3 linked regions of the Nothobranchius furzeri genome follow. The protein of the gene in region 2 purifies or fractionates together with the protein of the main gene of each other region. This does not show direct contact. Links are inferred from orthologs where the notes say so. Each region holds a gene or a part of one and is shown on either strand. Other genes may lie near its edges.

Region 1 (4,427 bases), on a different chromosome or scaffold from region 2:
GGAAATAAAGAATACAGTCAATTATCTAACTAGCTATAAGTATCTATTTATATGTTTTCCAAAGTTTAAATGAGTGTTGTAGTTTTTATCAGGAGCACCTTTCCTACTCAGAGGAACAGGCAGTGGCAGCTAGGTACCAGCTGCTAGGCTTCACGTTCTTCTGCACCGTTTCTGCCCATTTTAGGCCAGTCTGAGACACGACTCCAGCTGGGTGGAACAACCACACATGACAGAGACCAACTCCTGACAGCAGGCTTCAGTTGTGACTCACTGTAGATAGAGAAGGGCTAGATCTAAAAATGTGAGGGAGAAATTTAAGGCACAAGGAACTAATGCGCCCCCCAGTGGCTGGCTGAAGCATACGTTTCCCTCCATTTAAACAAATGGGACATGACTTAATAAAATACACCCCCCACCCCCCCACCCCAGGTGTTGACTCTTGATTCACAGTTGTTCTTACTTTACTGTCGTTTGTCCAGACGTCTATATTTTTAAGTTTGTTTGAGCTGTAAATAATTATCTGAAGCAGGAAAAACCCACCATGACGATGTGATGGAGGAGCCAGCTCCAAAAACATCTGTTAACGGTTTAGACTTCACTTTGTGAACAAACCTCTAACTTTTAAAGGTTGAATAATTTCACAATTTAAAAAGAAAAAACACGAGTACAGCTACACAGAGAAGATGCACTTGTGTGTGTGTGTGTGTGTGTGTGTGTGTGTGTGTGTGTGTGTGTGTGTGTGTGTGTGTGTGTGTGTGTGTGTGTGTGTGTGTGTGTGTGTGTGTGTGTGTGTGTGTGTGTGAGATTTAAGGTTAGATAAATGACAGCAGCATCACTGCAGTAATTGCTTTCTGCACTTTGAAAAAAACTGGGCAGGTTGTAAAACTACTAATGCCATTACTACTGTGTGTTTAAGGGTTTGAGTAAATGTCTCGATAGTTTACCACATAAGGGTATATCACTGCTCTTTGTTGACATTTAGATTTCTAATTTGATTACAGTTAAATTAAGTGATGTTAATTATTAATGACTGTTTCTGTTAGGAAGTCCGCTCATAAAAAACTATTGTTAATTAATTTAATTGTATCAATAAAAAAATAACATTACTATAATTTTCCTTTGGTCACTGTGCGTCCCCTCTGCTTTTAATACATACACTGCATTACCTGTAGGTACCTATAGCAGAGAAATATTAACCATCTATTTATTATGATGCCAATAAATATAAAGTTTTTAATTCAGCCTATTTAATGAATGCTACTCAGAATATTTATTTAGATATAAAAAAGGGATCAGACAGTAACCAAACCTAACGGACCTGTCCAGGAACAAGACCCTAGGACATTTGTGACACATCAGTGTATGGGGTGGCCTGATGGTTGGGGCTGACGAGTTATACCTGTTGGTCTCAATGTAAAGAATAATTGTTTCTGTAACAATTTGTTTTAATCAGCTGTTTGTATAAAGTTTTTGATGTTTTGCATCATAAACCTGTAATACCTGAACAGAATCATGTGATCACTGAGCAACCTGCAGTCACATGGTCTGACATCAACACTCAGATATATTAACTTTGCCATTCCTGTTTATTTAATTATCTGATTAATCATTTTAGCCCCATTTTAGGGTATTTGAGTAGTGTTAGCAACTGCTATCCTTCCAACAGTTTCGGGGTCTAAACACCCAAACTAGTTCAAGGTAAACACAGTGCACTGTAGTAAATATGGATAAATAAAGGCTGGAAGTTTGTGGATCTTTAGTTTCACTTCTGGTTTGTGATTTTAACACAGCCACTGTTTACCTCTGCAACCCGAACCCAAGTCAGTCGTAAAAATACATGGCATGGAAATAACCTGATTGGGTTTTATTTTGGTAACAAAACCATTCAACGCTATTGTAAAATGTACAACAAAATATATTTACAACTAGTTTAAAACCTGGAGAAGAGGACACTTTTCAAAGATTTGGGATCAGGACATTAGTGTAAAAATAAGAGCCTGTTTAAAGTCGCTGTGGAGAGGGAACCATGGCGTTGTTAGAGGGTTAAGTGATTAGAAAGCTGGAGGACCTCAGCACTGGAGCTACAGCTGCCTCGCTTTACGTCAATGTGTTCTGCTGGTACCCATCCCCCACCGCTAACTCAGGCTAGCACTTGCTTAGCTCGCTGTGCTAAACCGATAAATGAACTTTAGGACAGTCTGTTTACTTTATCACATAGTTCCCCGTCTACAGTGTACCATTTGAATCACAGACAATCAAATTAGAGTGCCGTGAGTGGGACTCTGTTGGCCGTCACTGCCGCATGCTTTGTTCGGTACGGTAGTCTACCAAGTGACAATGAGGCCATTTTGCGCCGTGAGCAGCTAGCCGGTTAGCTATGCAACGGGTAGGCTAACAGACTGCGGCTGGCTAACTGTCCTAAAATGTTAAAGGAAACGGAAAAGGATTACCCCACTGGGGTATAAAATTACTGATATACGTCTCGACCACTTTAAAAACGTCTTCCTCGCCAAAACTGTAACAACAAGCATAAAAGTGGTGATCGCAAACCCACCCATCCTCCACGGTCCTTCCTCCTTTCTGGCCAAAAACAAGAGTTTTCGCTGCGCCCGGGCTGTTAAGAGTCGGAAAATTCACAAACGCTCTCCGCGGCGCCTGCCTAAAACACCACTGCCCAGTAGCTAGCTAGCAGCACTCACCTTGTGTTTGCCTTAGTTTATTCCCCTCTTCCCGTCATAAGATTGACGGCAGAGAAAGCGGAGATTTGGTTCAGATGAGATCATTCATGCCACGGCTTCAAAAACTGAAGTACCTCACTCCTTCTACTGCTGCTGCGAGGCGGACGGCAGGAGGGAAGGAAGGGAGTGAGGGGGAGGGGAGCCAGCCGACAAAAGCCAGTTGAGGATTCCTCTCTAATGATTTCTCCCTGCTTTTCTCAAACACTAATGCTTTCGGACAAACACGCTAAAGCTCGTTTTGGGGCTGACGGAAAACAAATACAAGACTTAAGATTTGACTGGGTTTCGACGTTCTGATTGTGAATTATGATCCTGTTATACCTCATTAATAACTACCGATAGATAGATAGATAGATAGATAGATAGATAGATAGATAGATAGATAGATAGATAGATAGATAGATAGATAGATAGATAGATAGATAGATAGATAGATAGATAGATAGATAGATAGATAGATATAGACTATTTCATCTGTTAATTAATAATGTCTCTAAATATGTTAATAAAACCATTATGACAGCACATTTTCACCATGAGGCACATAGATGTTTTTTTTATTCTTTATTTATAAGAGGACATTGCATACTAACAGTCAAATGACTGTAAATATGCCAGACTATAGCCTTAGGCTAATTTCCATCTGCAGTCCTCTGGCAGGTTGATGTTGCTAAAACAAATAAAACAGTCAACCACATACAAATAGATATAAATCAATAAAATAAAACAAAACAAGATGTGTGTAGGTATACATATGCATTTATAGCTATGCACATAGGCATGTGAAAGGTGCATATGTATTAAAATCAAATAGTCATTTTAGATTACATGTTTTGATCATGTTTCTGGATTTCCTTCATTCGTCTTGTTGACATTACAATTGTTTGAAATAAGAAGCACACACACACACACACACACACACTGAGAGTCGATTTAAAAGCTTTCAGGTGTTTTGGATCACCAAAACACCTGAAAAAATTAGCTGACATTTTGAACCTAGAATAGAAAGAACTTTTGCTCAATATTCTAAGTTCTCAGGTAAAATACTAGAGTTTCCTGGCTTAAACGGGATACATGACAGGTGTGTTCAAAGCACTTAGTTTGCATTAATATGTAAAACATATATTAAGGCAGATTTGGTGTGGTGATTATCCAAAAAAGTAACATAGAACACAGCTCAGGCCTTCTTCTCCCATTCTCACACACTCCCCATTTGATTAAACAGCATGTTTTTTGTCTCATCTTTTCTTCACTTCTTGGATTCTAAGCAAACTCCTGCTGACTTTGTTTCTTGCCAAATAAGCAGTCTTCTCTGACTGCAGCTCGGCCTGGGTGATGCTGCAGCAAGAGGATTCATTGTCTGCTGTAATTGCTTTTGTATGGTAGAGGAGCTCACAGCAGCACCGCTGCTCGGTGAGAAGAGTAGGAGAAGAAGTAGTGTGCTTAATGTCAGTCATCAAAAGTTGCAAAATTTGTCCCTAGTTGCGTTTTAAAAAACGTCTAAAAACTTGCTAAATATAGCAATAGATTCATTTAGTTGGCAACACTGTTCAGGGCTCTGCCCCTTTATGAAAATAAGCTAGAGCTGGCCACTCCCCCTCTTCTACACTCAGGCTGCTATAGGTTTAGAAGCTCAAGTTTCTAGGAGAGCTTGGTGTACAGCAGCTGCTCCTCCAGCAGCTCTCTCTT
Region 2 (3,650 bases):
AAAGATTGTTGATGGTGGCCACAGCAATGATGTTGTCCAGAGGATGCCAAGCAGTGTGAAGGATCTTCTTGTTAAAGTCCAAACTGTCTACACTGATCTCGTCCTTTTTGCGTTTCCCACCTGTGCTTACTTTGCGAGGCTTCAGGACCGACTGTGGCTTGCTGTTTTCCCGCGAGGCCTCGAAGGTCATGTCCTGCCTGTAGCCTCTGTCGAACATTCTGAAGAAGTTGTTGTAGGAGCCCGTCATCACAACGCTGAGGAAAAGATACAAGTCTCTGAGCGTTAGTTTCAGTATTTGTTTTGAACCTAATCTGGAAAAATGTCTAAAAGCTTGTTTTTGTTACAGTTAAACAAAATGACATGCAGTCTAGTGATCTGCTCCGACACCAGCAGGAGACAAAGACAGGGTTGCTGAGTCAAGGGTGGTTTTCACCCTGTTGTTGACTTTCTAATATAGCAGATTACATCAACATTACTACAGCAGCGTAGAAGATAAATTCTGTTGACAGGACAAATGCAGATGTAACCCAGAAGCTAGAACCTTAATGAGGTATTAACTAATTGGCTTACTAATATGATCCATCCTCAATTTAGATAAAATATAAAATATAAATTAAGGAAATTAACAATACTAATTAATAGATATCTAATTAACTAATAGATAATTTCATAATGAATTATTGGAAGGGTGAATAACTAAAATAACGAGTTTAATATTAAACATCGGTTAAAACAAGAATCTTGAACATCACTAACAGAAACAGAAGAGGAAAGCTGTATACTATTGGTCCAGGTGGGAATCTGAAATTTCATTGGCTGAGAGAAATAAGTCCCGCCTCCGCGAAATAAAACCGTGCGACGCAGCTGAGCGAGAGGAGAGACAAACGGCTGTGCAGCACGCAGATACAGAAAGCAAAGACTGAGCGGTTAGAGAGAGAGAGAGAGAGAAAAAAAAACAACGGTCGAGGCCGTGAAGAACCCTGATTTGGGTGCCGCATAGATAGAGGGAGAGGCGGACTTGACTCCTTCTAATAAGAGCTAGGAACTTGGAACCAACGCGGTGAGTAAAGAAAAAAGAAGAGAAAAAGCTAACGATGCAACTTAAAAAAAAAAGGAAACTTAAATAGCTTATCAAATTAATTCCATTCTTATAGATTTGTGTGGAGACGACAGAGTGAACCAATCCTCTGTAGGAGGGAACCGTTGGAGCGCGTTGGTGAGTGAATGAGATTAAATTCAGTAAATTATTAAATTCAAAAAGCTAATTACAGCAACCGAGGTGACAGCAGTGGGCTGCTAGACGTTAGATCCCAGGAGTTAACATCTCAAACTACCAGTTAACGGTGGTAGGGCATATAGGAGTTAACGGCTCAAACCGCCAGTTAACGGCGGTAGGGCATATGGGATTCCCAGGAGTTAACGGCTCAAACCGCCAGTTAATGGTGGTACGGCCTAGATGTACAGGGTCCTCAGGGGCGTTATAGCTAACGCCATAGAATTAGCAATGCGTCCCTTAACCAAACATTTAATAATAAAAAAAATAGATAAATAAAAATAAATAAAAGCTAACTGATTAGGGAGGAATTATTTTACAAAGGTGGACCAAAGGACCAGAATTTATATTTTGTTTAATTTTGTTATAGAAAATTTTATTTATTTATTTATTTGTTTGTTTGTTTATTTATTTATTTATTTATTGTGTTACAGATATACAAGGTGTCACAATGCTGTATAGAAACACAACTAAATGTATCCTTGTTGTCATGAATGCATTTCTTGTCGAATAGTGTAGAGTAATAGAATCTAACTGAGCCTATTGAGCTGAACAATTGTTGTCATATGTAATTATATTTCCAGAGCTACTGAGAATTATTTTAATAGACAATCAAATTGATGTTATGTTAGTTGAACTGTGAACCCAAACATGATTGGCTATGCCAATAGAGTGAAGCATTTGTTTAAGTCTGTAAGACTTTATGCTGTGATGTGACGAGAAGGGTCGATGCCAACTTGCTAACAGTCCTGTTGTTTACAGGCTGGGTTTTTTTTTTCCTTGGGTTTGATCCCGACTCCTATGATCACTCACTTGGAACGAGAACTGGATTTCTTCCTGACGAGGGAGATGGCGAGCCTTAACCACTGAACGAACCAGGACATCTCAAGTAACTGAAGAGCAGACTGCTCTCTTCTGTGAACAATCTCAACGGTGCGGTAGGAAAAAATCGCACCACCGGACTCTGACTTTCACCCCAAGCGTGGGGATTTGACTTGACGCCGGCTGACTTGTGACTCATATGATCAAATCTCATACCGAGCATTTTACTGTTGTCGATTGTTTTCATCTGTTTTTGTGTGTTATCTTTATGCGTTATATTTCCCATTATTATTAAAATTTAGTATATAAACCGTTTCATGCTATACCCGTGACTCCAGTCATTCTTAAACAACCTCCAATTCTCCCCGAACCTAATTATTGGCCCATTTGTTTATTTTTTCTTTTAATTATCTTATTGTATCCTGTAATCCGGTTACATAAAACTTGGCGAGCCAGCCAGGAGAATTGTAGAGTTGTTACCTTAGCTAACCATTGACTGACATCATAAGAGTGCCTGGAGGTCACAGTGGTTTGCCATTTTGGCATTATTGGTACTTTTGAGTGTTTTAAAATGGAAGTTGTGAAAACAGAAAAGGTCAAAGTTTCAAATGCTGTTTTAATCAGTGGGTTAACTGATACAGACCTTGATAACGAAGTCTTTGGGTTTATGGAAGGATTCGGACCAGTTAACAGGCGCATTAAGTTACCAAACTGTGATCAGATTATTGTGGAGTTTCAACATGAAGCCACTGTTAAGGAATTAAAGAAACAATGTTTACCCTATGACAAACCTTGTACTAGGAACCCAGATGTTTTCTTCCATATTCAAGACCTAGCCAGCGCGTACAGTCTAGAAACTAGCACATCTGCCACTGATGCCTATCTGTCAGAGCTCAGGGACATAGCTGCGCGTAGCAATCAATCATTTAAAGACCTTCTAATGGAGGAACTGGCAAAAATTGGGGAATCTTTAGGAAGGGATACCCATGCATCTGAACCAGTCACTGAACCAGAGCTAATGCTCCATAGTGACCAAGTTACATATTCCCTGCCTTTAACACCAGAAGTTAACTATATGAACAACTCAAAGGACAATTGTCCACCTACAGAGACTGGAAAACAAAACCCTTGCATTCCACCAAATCTTTTAAACACACCTGAGGTTCAGCGAGTTATTGTGGAACACATTGTTAAAAGCAGTGAGGTTATCCCTCCGCCTACTTCACAATACAGACTAAAACCGTTCTCAGGGCGAGTTCCACACCCTTCTTTTGAAACTGACTATGATACTTGGCGTAGTAGTGTAGTGTTATGCATAAATGATCCTTCACTCACCAAGTCCCAAATTGTACGAAGAATCGTGGAGAGTCTGTCAGCCCCAGCAGCGAGCATCGTTAAAGCTCTTAGTCCAAAATCCGACCCGGAAACGTACCTTGAACATCTCGATTCAGCTTACGCAGCTGTCGAAGACGGCGACGAGCTCTTTGCTCGCTTCTTAAACACAAACCAGGACAGTGGTGAAAAACCTTCCGATTACTTTCAGAGGTTATACACC
Region 3 (4,404 bases), on a different chromosome or scaffold from region 2:
ATGTTTATTAGACTCAACTAAATGGCAAACTTTCAATGCAAACAGTAAACTATAAGATTAACTCATTAACTGCCAGTCGTCATTTGCATGTTTTTACTGTGTGGGCGTCGGACGAGCCCCCGCACCGTGAGAACAAACATCTCAGCTCTAAAGCCGATCTTCATCCGCATACGTCACGTGATCAGGAAGCAGAACATCCACGTGTTAGGAGATCGTTTTGGGCCGCTGCTGTAAAAAAAGTGAGGCGTGAACCGGAAAAGCTTCTGACGATCACAATTCAACAACGTATTATTAAAGAACGGATAACGCTCGAAACACGCGGATTCTTCCTGATGTAAGAGGTGAGTCTCCGCTTTGTTTTGGTTGTTTTGGTGTCGACATCATCCTAGCGTGCAACATTCTGTCACTCTATAAAAAAAAGGAGTAAAAATGCTGGAAGTGAAGGGCTTTTCTGATCAGGAAATGGTTGGCAGTTAATGAATAAAAAAAAGTTAGTTTTTACCTTTTAGTCCAAATCAAAAGTAAACTTTTTTAAGTTAGCTTTTTTCATTTCTATGATATTTTTGTCACTTTTTTATTTATTTGCTTTTGATTATTTTTGTTCCTGAATTAAGTTTATATTTATCGCAAGTAATACCGTCATTGCAATATTAATCACCGTTATTGCATATCACAGGTTTTCCTAATATCGTGCAGCCCTAGAACATACAAATTTAAAGAGGCAGAACAAAAAACAATCCTGGTGACGCCGCCGTGTTGCTGTTGCAGCGCAGGAGGGTTGTGGACTTGAGTCTGGTTGTTTTTTTTTGGCAGCAGCAGATGAAATCGGTTCATGTTTCGGCTCACAGACCAACACCAGGAACGACGCTGCGCTTTATTAAATTGCTGTTTTGTCATATTTAGCAACACAAATCTTATCTGAAATGTTACATTAACTCCTGCCATAAATGGTGTGTGAGAGAGCAGCTTCCTTTAGTCACACGGCGTGCGGAGCTGTTCGGCTCATTATTAGGGCCAATTTATCAAGACAATACTGAAGTTTCACAACAAAAAATACATATTTATTCCGTACCAGTTCCTACTAAATATTTGGTCGGTACTAAAGAGGAACTGAGTTTGGGAAGCCAGCCCCTCTGGTTTGTTCTACTAAAAGTTTGAACATACAACCCAGAGACTCTGGTGTGACTGGAACACACAAGATGATAAAATAACACAAACTGACCCTGACCGTTTTAGAAACAAACGGAATAATCTCTTCAAATGGATTTCCATTTCCTCATAGATAACCCCCCCCCAACAGGAACAAAAACTGCAAATTAACTCGGATGTATGCAGTATTGAAGAAGGCGACTTATTAGGATTTTTTTGGGCCAAACTCACCTCTTGAACGTTGGACTCCTTAGTCAGAATCTCCTTTGCCTGAAAAGAACACAAAAATTTATTAAACTGGTCACATTTGTGTGTTTTTATTTACATAACCAAAAGTTTAAAAAGGACAGAATTATTGCATCATGGGTGAAAACATGCTGGAAGCCAGGCAAGACCCCAGTTCCTGTAGAATAACAAACAGGATGTATGGTGAAACCTGGTTTTTTGTTGTTGTTTATGTGCAAAAACATCAGAATAAAGAGCCTCTCTGCAGTGGTTCAGTTTTTGATTCTTTATATTTGGTAAGCTCACAATAATAACAAAATAATACAGGAAAAAAAGCTTTAATTATGAAAAGGAAACATAATTAAAGGCATCAAAATCGATTGATAGTTTAACTCTTTAGTTCAAAGTGTTGCTCAGCAAAACGACATAAATATACACAAAAGCTGTTTATTTACTTTAGTAATAAATAAAAATCATCTTTTGCAGCTCCATAAGTTTCCACGTTTATCTGGCCTGTTGAATCCTCAGCTGGTTCCTGATTTCAGCTGAAAAACCGCTAAAGTCACTCAATTATAATAATGTATGTTTAAAAAAATAACACGATGCAAAAAGTCATAAGAACTAATTTATTATGCGACAGCAAAAATGCGGACGCGTCTAATAACTGGGAGGTAGGATGGGTTTATGCAATAAACGATAAATCAATACAGACAGGGTGCGGTGCGAAACCCCGCACGTACGCAAACAAACCAATTCTAAAGACGCTGACTTAATACTGATTTTAACATAATATTTCGCATGGAACAAACCGAGGGAAACCACGTCAAATAAAAAAACGGGTGGATGGTAACGAGGGCTGCATCTATTTACTAGACATTTAAGGTGCGATTTTCGGCCTGTTGGTGCTCAAACTACGACTGTTGGTTAACCGTCATCACTGATAAAACTAGCCTCTGATCTTCAAACACCAAAAACAATACGAATAATTTCTCATTTCTAGTACTAATAAACAGGGATGACCTGCGGCTGACGGGTCAATAGGGAGATAAAAACCAAAATACACGTTACTTCCTTTCCAGAAATTAGTCGGGGCCGCTGAGAACCAGGCCGCTTATAAATTGAGGTCAGCGGAATCAAATGAGCGCTTACCTTCTCACAGAGGGTCCTCACTTGGTTTTCCGTTAGCTGCTTGCACTCGTTGAGCTGTTCGATCCATTGGTCTAATTCTTTAGTAAAAGATTTATCTTCCATTTCAGCTGTAATAAAAAACGGCGTCCGGTCCCTACGCGAACTGATTCAGCCTTTAGCTTGTCGTATTGTTAACCCGATCCAGTCCGGTTGAAAAATATTCGATTAGTCCTAAAAATAACGACCCTTTCAGACAACTTCTCTCATGATAAACCACCAATGTTAAGTTACCGACATTAAAACCAGTTTAAATGAGCCAGTGGAGTCGAAATCTTCGAAAGTCTCCGCTGCGGCAGATCGAAGCGGCGTCGCAGAGGCTAAAAGAGCTAGCTGCAACAACATCCGGGCACTTCAGCAGCGCGCAGACTCGGAACACCAGCGACACCACGCGGGGAAGTAACGAACTACAACAAGTTCATCGTCTTTTCCGGGATGCTGATCCTAGACCAGGGCTTGCTGCTCTAGGTACACATTATGTGGTTTATTTGTAACTCACTCACTCACTCACTCACTCACTCACTCACTCACTCATCTTTACCCACTTCAGTCACCAGGGGACAGACAGAGGACATCTGGACATGCCTCCAGTCCATCACAGGGACACATAAAGGCAAACAACCAGTCACACATTCAATTACATCTAGGGACAGTTTATTGTCTCCAGTTAACAGACCTTCTTTACACCTCCACTGGCACCCCACAAGGCTGTGTGTTGTCTCCTCTACTCTTCATTCTCCATACAGATGACTGTAGATCCATCCAGCCTGACAGTTATATGGTAAAATACGCTGATGACACTGTGCTCCTGTCGCTTCTGTCAGGCCCTACTGTTTAGCACGGGCAGGTCCTGCAGGAGTTTGTGGATTGGTGTGACACAGCAGGCCTGGAGCTGAATGTGACCAAAACTAAGGAGATGGTGTCCTTCTCAAACAAACAGAGAGCGCTGGTTACCGCTGCCTCCACTATCATTCATGGACAGCCAGTGGAGCTGGTTGAAGAGTATACATATCTAGGGACCACCTTTGATCACCTCCTGAAATTCGCTTCCAACACTGAGGACATCCTCAGAAAATGCCAGCAACGACTCTACCTCCTGAGGAAGTTGAATTCATTTGGAGACAGGAAGGACATTTTACTGACTTTCTATTATTCTTTTATAGAGAGTGTTATCACATTTTCCATCCCCTGTTGGTTTTATTCTGTCAGCCTGCAGTATAGAAACCGTCTACAAAGCACCGTCAAGGTGTGCTCTCAGATCATTGGACTACCACTGCAAAACTTAACTTCTCAATGTGACCAGCATACAGGAAGTTAGCATAGAAAATAATTAAAGACCCATTACACCCTCTTCATACTGTTTTCGAGTGGCTGCCCTCCAAACGCCAACTTCGATGTCCATGCTGTAAAACACAGAGGAGGAGTTCCTTTGTTCCCAGAGCTGTGCTTCTTCTTAATTCTTAGTGCCGATAGGAGTGTGCATAACTTGTATGTGTGCGTGCATATAGTTACATGTATGCATGTGTATTTGTGTGTGCATGTGTGTGTGTGTATGTGTGTGTGTGTGTGAGCCAAAGGTTTACATGAATTGTCTCAAATTGCCCCTCGGGGACTAATAAAGTTGTCTTGAGTCTTGAGTTTTTGGTCAGTGGGAGGCAATCCATGTATGCATGGGCAACACATTATGGGAACACACAGGCTGCAGACAGAATGAGAAACTGCAACTTTTTTTTGCCACAAAATAACATAAAATAATTCCATATATTTTAAACCACAATAAAAACATGTTTTTGTGTCCACTGTCTGTGACTGAAATTCATTAATCAAACTATACCCGGCAAACAG

The links.
Region 1: the proteins of ppp2r2aa (region 2) and cdca4 purify together in Homo sapiens (affinity purification with mass spectrometry; 4 studies listed by BioGRID and IntAct, with this or other methods). This does not show direct contact. The link is inferred for Nothobranchius furzeri from reciprocal best matches to the Homo sapiens genes PPP2R2A and CDCA4.
Region 3: the proteins of ppp2r2aa (region 2) and serine/threonine-protein phosphatase 2A catalytic subunit beta isoform purify together in Homo sapiens (affinity purification with mass spectrometry; 8 studies listed by BioGRID and IntAct, counting the BioPlex papers as one, with this or other methods). This does not show direct contact. The link is inferred for Nothobranchius furzeri from reciprocal best matches to the Homo sapiens genes PPP2R2A and PPP2CB.

Annotation. Positions count from the first base shown.
Region 1 is NC_091758.1:17,654,959-17,659,385, forward strand, and holds the start of cdca4 (cell division cycle-associated protein 4), read right to left. Parts: upstream 2,881-4,427; 5' UTR 2,700-2,880; intron 1-2,699. UniProt on the Homo sapiens protein: May participate in the regulation of cell proliferation through the E2F/RB pathway. May be involved in molecular regulation of hematopoietic stem cells and progenitor cell lineage commitment and differentiation.
Region 2 is NC_091757.1:37,248,637-37,252,286, forward strand, and holds part of ppp2r2aa (serine/threonine-protein phosphatase 2A 55 kDa regulatory subunit B alpha isoform), read right to left. Parts: intron 255-3,650; coding exon 1-254. UniProt on the Homo sapiens protein: Substrate-recognition subunit of protein phosphatase 2A (PP2A) that plays a key role in cell cycle by controlling mitosis entry and exit. Involved in chromosome clustering during late mitosis by mediating dephosphorylation of MKI67.
Region 3 is NC_091750.1:36,847,552-36,851,955, reverse strand, and holds the start of serine/threonine-protein phosphatase 2A catalytic subunit beta isoform, read right to left. Parts: upstream 2,916-4,404; 5' UTR 2,626-2,915; coding exon 2,524-2,625; intron 1,420-2,523; coding exon 1,381-1,419; intron 1-1,380.